2 linked regions of the Oryzias latipes genome follow. The main gene of each other region encodes a partner of the protein of the gene in region 2 in a complex. Links are inferred from orthologs where the notes say so. Each region holds a gene or a part of one and is shown on either strand. Other genes may lie near its edges.

The links.
Region 1: WD40 repeat-containing protein SMU1 (region 2) and zmat2 share a complex: the UniProt entries of both Homo sapiens proteins name them as parts of the spliceosome B complex. The link is inferred for Oryzias latipes from reciprocal best matches to the Homo sapiens genes SMU1 and ZMAT2.

The regions. Positions count from the first base shown.
Region 1 is NC_019872.2:3,288,050-3,291,990, forward strand, and holds the start of zmat2 (zinc finger matrin-type protein 2), read right to left. Parts: upstream 2,809-3,941; 5' UTR 2,738-2,808; coding exon 2,720-2,737; intron 1,332-2,719; coding exon 1,232-1,331; intron 1,147-1,231; coding exon 1,023-1,146; intron 898-1,022; coding exon 824-897; intron 1-823. UniProt on the Homo sapiens protein: Involved in pre-mRNA splicing as a component of the spliceosome.
Region 2 is NC_019868.2:28,095,257-28,098,319, reverse strand, and holds the end of WD40 repeat-containing protein SMU1, read right to left. Parts: coding exon 2,952-3,063; intron 2,881-2,951; coding exon 2,754-2,880; intron 2,674-2,753; coding exon 2,506-2,673; intron 2,432-2,505; coding exon 2,279-2,431; intron 1,097-2,278; coding exon 998-1,096; 3' UTR 509-997; downstream 1-508. UniProt on the Homo sapiens protein: Involved in pre-mRNA splicing as a component of the spliceosome. Regulates alternative splicing of the HSPG2 pre-mRNA. Required for normal accumulation of IK.

The DNA.
Region 1 (3,941 bases), on a different chromosome or scaffold from region 2:
AGATGAGACTAAGATCAACCTCTACCAGAGTATGGAGAAGGAAAGGAACTGCTCATGATCCTAAGCATACCACCTCATCAGTGAAGCATGGTGGTGGTATTGTCATGGCGTGGGCATGTATGCCTGCTAATGGAACTGTTCTCTTCTATCTATTGATGATGTGAACGCTGACAAAAGCAGTAGGATGAATTCTGAAGGCTTTTGGGCTCATGATCAGCCAAATGCTTCAGTGGACGGCGCTTCACAGTGCAGATGGACCATGACCCAAAGCAAACTGCAACCGCAACTAAAGGCCTTCTTAAGGGAAAGAAGTGGAATGTTATGCAATGTTTCACTTGCTGAAGACAAAACTGAAGGTAAAATGCCCCAACAACAAGCAGGAACTGAAGACCGATGCATTGGAGGCCTGGCAGAGCATCACCAGGGATGAAACCCAGCGTCTGGAGATGTCTGTGAGTTCCAGACTTCATGCTGGAATTGACTGCAAAGGATTTGCAACCAAGTATTAAAAAGTAAATGTCTGATTTATGATTATTGTTCTGACCATTACTTTTGGTTCCTTAACAAGTGGGAGGCACAGATGCAAACTGTTGTAATTCCTACACAGTTCACCTGATCTGGATGGAAATACCCACAAATTAAAGCTGACAGTCTGCAGTTAAAGCACATCTTGTTCGTTTTATTTCAAATCCATTTTGGTGGCATATAGAGTCAAACATGTTGGAATTGTGTCGCTGTCCCATTATTTATGGACCTGACTGTATAAAATGATCCACGTTACATCTGCGCTCTTGGCCCCTCCCTAAAGCACAGGTGTACTTACGTTTCTTGCCGTTGATGTGATCCAGAAAGTTGATGGAGTCTTTGACCACACAGTCACAAACATTGCAGTAATATCTGAAAAAAAAAATATGTCGGAACCAGAACCCAGACCTGTCCGTTTCTGCTCCACAACTTTTTCTTATTGGTTCAAAGAGTTTCAGTTTTCCATTTTTCCAAACCCAAAGCCGTCAGGAACTCACCCGCCCATCTCCGCCTGAGGGGTGGTCTTGGTGATGACAATAGTTTTCCCCAGTTTGGACTCCAGATCCACTTTGTAGTCTCTGTGCCGCAGGAGCTCCCGCTTGACGGGAGGGACAGGTTTTCCTGAAAGAGCCAACAGGTCATGCGTCAGGGGTGATAAGCGATTGACCCCCAAGGGTCCCCAAAGAACGGAGAGCGCTGCCCTCACCATCCCTGAGCTCCCGCTCGCGCTCCTCGTTCAGCCGCTTCTGAGCGAGATTCTCGTACTCGTCCTTGTCCCATTTCCGCCGGAAGTCGTTCTTGCTGGACTGGAAGACACGAGAAGATGACTCAGAGCGCCTCGATTATCTTCACATCTCAACAAACATTCAGCTGATGAAGACGAGGAGCTTTTACTCCTCCTGACAAAAGAGCAACAGCTTCTCAACTCAACTTCATTGATAAAACTCTAAAACAGAACCACAGAGACACAACAACAGAGAAGGAACAAAAGCAGGAAAGCCTCATGCTTCGTCAGAAGAATGTTTAAATGCAGACGGTGAAGATGCCTGTTGGACTGTCAGAGCTGACGCCTTGTGCACCTTCCAAGCTCAAACAGGAGGAGCTGGCTCTTCCCAGAGGTTCCTCCTGGATCTCTGTCCCTCCAGGGAAAGATATGAGCTTAACCGAGATTCCAAAAGCTCAGAGAGGTATGGATGAACGCACAAATCATGGGGAACGTGTGACCCATGATTTATGCGTGAGCCATGCTGCTGCTCGTATTTAATGGTGTTTGGGAAAAGGGCTGTTCCTACTCCGTGACCCGAGATAAGGGGAGGGCTCAGGCCGAACATCCAGCTGACGGGAAGCATCCATGTTGGATAAACAGATGAGTCCAAAGAGATCCTTCATAATGAACATTAGATTTTTCAGAAATCTCCGTTCAACAGCCTGATCCTGGCTGCAGCTGCAGCCTGAAACTGATCAGCTCTCCAAATGCATGGTGCCGTCAGGCTCCAGGGGGATACGCCTGCTGGTGGAGCTGTGCTTACAGGACAGGAAACCCTAAGTCACTCTAGACCAGTGTTTTTCAACCTTTTTTGAGCCACGGCACACTTTAACCCTGAAAAAGATCCCGCGGCACACCAGCATCCAAAAAAAAAAAAAAAAAGCAGAAATTCATGGTCTGTATTGATCGACAGCTCTTCCCTTTCATTCATATTATCAAAGTAAACATTTTCAACAGGGGTGGGTTTATAAATTTTATAATATAGCAACAGAAACATTGTTTCATATTTGCAAAAACCAAAAAGGACATTATCCTTATTATTACAGTTTCATTTATTATCATCACAGTCGGCTTTACGAAATAAACTTCAAGAGCTTTTATTTTGCCACACCGGAATTCGTTACACCTTTGAATTAGTCCTTTAAAGATAAAAACTAACGGCGGTTGAGTCAAAACGTTTTTGGTACTAATTTTTTTTTTTTTTAAAAAGGGCCGTAAAATTCTGCAAATAAAGTACCCAAGCGTCAGAGCGAGTTAGCCGCTGCTAGTCCGAGGCCGCGCTTCTAACGGCAGCAGCTGATGTCTGTAACGGTTACAGTCAAAACGCCTCCACGGTACCAAATATAAAGTGAAGAATTTTAATCTTGTTTATTGAATTAAACTGTATTACAACAAACAGGGGCAGAGAAATTCTGCTTGGAAACTCACCCCACTGCCGGACGCCATCTTGTTTACCTACGGAAAATACGTCACCGGATGTTGCAGCTCGTCATTGCTAGTTTCCTGTCTAAATTTAGTTCTATCGGTAGAGGAGACATCACGTGATTCCTCAAGGGGGGAGAGCATCGCCATCTTGGTGAGGTCAAATTACTGCTGTAGTGCATGCATGTGAACACATTTCTTGCAAAATACCAGTTCATTTTTCGGGTTTCAACTGCCAAAATCAGAGAAATGAGTCCACGAAGGAGGAAGGCATAACATTTCACAGGTAAGTATTATATATTTTTTTCTTTTAATGCTGCAGGGGCATCATTAATCATACACATGTTTTCATGCATGATGCTGCAGGGCGATTATCAACATGTAGGCATGATGTACGTATAATTTGCTGTCGATATAAATGTAAACTTTATTGTGTTAAACCTGTATACATTATACTAGGCTATTATAGTAATAGAGATTTATACATTTCTGACTCAGTGACTGAAATTTTATTGCAGGTTTCCAATGGATTCAGACTTAAGGAAAAAGTGGGCCTTAGCAATAAAAAGAGCTAACCCAGATGGATCACTGTGGTACCAACTAGTAATACAGTCTGGCTATGTTCAAAACAATTTGAGGAAACAGATTTTGATGAGACTGGCCAGACTGTTAGCTTGAAACCCGACACTAAACCAACTGTGTCACACAAATTTATCACTAACATGAATCAGGAGGTAAATCTATTTCTTTTCTTTGTTTTTTTAAAGGGGAAAATCTGTTGTTGACTTTTGGACTTTTTGTTGACTTATTATTGATTTATTATTATCATTTATTATTATTTACCTATTATTGATTTATTTTTATCATTCAATATTATTATTGACTTACTATTGATTTATTATTATTATTATTTATTGATTCATTATTATTATTATTATTATTATTATTATTATTATTATTATTATTATTATTATTATTATTATTATTGACTTATTTATATATTGTTATTAATTATTATTATTATTGACTTATTATTTATATTTGTTATTTATTATTATTATTGACTTATTATTTATATATTGTTATTATTTATTATTATTATTGACTTATTGTTGGGCTTTTCTAAATAATTTCAATTACATGTCAAAGAGGTCTAAAACTTGGAAATGTTTAAAAATTAAAAACAATGCATTTTTCATTAAAGTTTGAACTTTTAAAGCTGACTGTT
Region 2 (3,063 bases):
CAACTAAATTTGGAGTCAAATCGACCAGAACGTATAAATCTACAAAATCCACTGAAGGAGAACAAAATTATGAATTTAAATCAAAATGATAACATGCAGATTAAATGCAATTTGCTAAATATATATATATATATATATATATAATAGATAAAATATACACTTAAATGTTAAAGGTTAACATCTAAAAAGTAGGTTGTTTCTTTTAACAGCACATCCATAAATGCTATAACTGTTTTGATCTGACTTCCTTTGAACAGGATCTTATGTCAGGCTTTTATTTTGAAAGTCGTGCGAGCAGCCCCCTTGCCTTCCTGTCAGACTGGACACTCTTCCTCCTGAACTGCAGTTTATTTAAACATGAAACCCAGCCGGCGCGCTTCGTCGCTGAAGCTCCTGTAACAGAAAAACCACAAACGACCAGAAAACCTTCAAAGCAGATAAATAAAAACGTTAATATTAGAATACTTACTTCCGTCCTTCAGGATTAAATTCAACACCACAGCAACCATTCTGGTTAAACAGCTTTAATGGTGAAATGGACACATGTTACAGGAGACATTTGTAACTCCACCACGCCGCTGTGACCCTTAAAGCTCAAGTGGAATCATCAAAAATCTTAAGTTCTGTTTGAGCAGCCTCTTATTTTGGCGAGACTTTCAGCTTCTGCACAAACAGACCAGAGCGTCGGCTGTTTAACCAGGTATTCTTGAAAAAACAACTAAAAAGTATTTACAAAAGAGTGGAAATGTGAAAAAAATGTGTCTTGAACGCACCACTTCCTATCCGAGCCTCTTCTTACACTTTTTCTCTGACGTTTACATTTTCTGAGTCTGACGGATAAAAGAATCAAAACGGACACCGGGGGGGGGTCTGACTGATGCCGGGGAACTCGTGCTTTCCTGCAGGTGTGATCCTGAAAGTCCAGAAAACACAGAGGAACGATAGGCTGGGGGCCAGAGAAGCTGCTGAGGGTCCGGCCGTCTCCGTGGACGAGGCTTCAAGGCTTCCAGAGCTTCAGCAGGCCGTCCTCGCTGTACGTGCCGATCAGGTTCTGGTGGGGGTGGTGGGCGATGCCGATCACATCCTTTTCGTGGACCTGGAGGAGAACAGAGAGCAGCTGAGTCTGCAGCCTGAGGGCGAAGATGAAGCTTGTTCCGTCTGTGGAAACGCCCTTCAAAAGTCGGGATTTGAACCCTAGAAGGTGACCAAAGCACCGGCGAGTTGGTTTTCAGGGATGTGGGAAGGACGCAGACCCGGCATTGGTCAGGTTTTTCCTCAAGGTTTCAAAAATGGTTTTTAGTTTTGACATTTTATGGTTTAAAATTTTTTTTTTATATATAATAAGAGTTATGACACACGAGTCCTTCAAATTGAATAGTTTGAAAATGCGTACTTTCACTTTAAAGCCACAAAAAAAAAAAAAAAAAAAAACCACCGTCCTCGTTTGTGATGCTGAGGTCGTTTGGAGCCAATAGAGACCAGAGAACTCAAAGACAAACACTTATTTCACCCCAAACTCTGCAACAGCTACGAGAAATGTTTATCCGTTTTTCCGTGCGAGTCAGAATAATGTGATAAATCTACTGAGGCGTTTTGATGAATTACAGGATTTACAAAGATTATAGTTCGGATTGTTCGACCTCTGGTCTTGTCTGCTTTTTTGTGCGTTTGAGTTCCGGCCCCCGCTCAGCTGCTGACTCCACCTGGAGGAGCAGAGCAGCGGTGTGCGACATCTAAAACGGTTCCTTATCTGTTATTGTGTATGTTGTTTTGACCTTGATTTAGATTCTGAGGGGGATTTGCACAGATTTCTCTCATCTCTATACGTTTGATCGGCGTTATAAAACCTAAATTGTCCTAAAAAAAGGAAAGTCACAAAATGATTGATTGATGAAGCAAAGTCACAAGAACTTCTTTAGAGGGTAAATTATTATTATTGCAAACTAGTAAAAAAAAAGAAGAGAAGCTCAAAAAATCCCAGGACTACTGAGGGATAAAACAGCAATGCATTGTGGGTCTTGGTGCTCTTGCGTGAGCGGAGAGCTGCAACAGTTAGTGCCGACGCAGGTTTGTTATCCAGATGAATTAAACCAAACTGCTGCAGCTTAAGAGGTTTTATTTCTCTAAACAAACACAGCTGAGGAAGAGGAACACAATCATTTCTTTTTAAAACCTTTGGGTATAATTTAGCATCATGTTTGTTCATATTCTGGGATCAACATCTGACTGAATGTTTCCCTGACCCGGGTTGTGTGCGTTTTCTGAGGCGGATCGGTACCGTGAGCGTTCTCTCCAGTTTGCCCGTCACCGTGCTGAAGCAGTAAAGCACAAAGTCTTCGCCCACGCAGTAGATCCACTCGCCGCGCGGCGACAGCGTGCAGCACACGAAGTCTCCGCCCTCCCTCTTTCCGGAGCTGAAGCTCCTCACGATCTGCGCAGAGAGGAGGAGGAGGCGTGAGCCGGGCGTCAGCGAAGGCTCTGGAAGGCGTGGCGTGCGGCGCTCACCTGTCCCTGCATGTTCATGATGACCACCGTGTTGGAGCGGTTACAAACCACGAAGTGCTCCGGGTTCTTGGGCAGCAGGAGGACGTTGTTGACCGTGATGTCGGTGCCGGCGGACGTGCCCAGAGGTTTGAAGGTGCTGCTGCACTCGGTGGTCTTCACGTTCCACAGCTGACGCCACCGACGGGAGGAGAAGAAATGTGAGACAGAGCCGCCAAAGGCGCCGGCGGGGAGCGCCGCCGTCCTCTCACCTTCACCGTGCCGTCAGACGAGGCGCTGATGACGTGATGGCCGTCCGGCGTGAAGGTGGCCTCGTTGACGAAGGACGTGTGACCCCGAAACTCCTTCAGAGTTTTGCCAGACTTCAACCCGTGGATCCTGCAGGAAAACAAGCAGCAGGTGGTCATTCGAGGGCGTGGCCAGAAGGAGTGACGGCGACGAGCGCTCACCTGATGGTCTGGTCGAAGGAGGCGCTCAGCAGCTGGCTGCTGTCCTTACAGAAACTCACGCAGGTCACGCCTTTGCTGTGAGCGCGCTCAAACCTACGCAGGCACTGGCCAC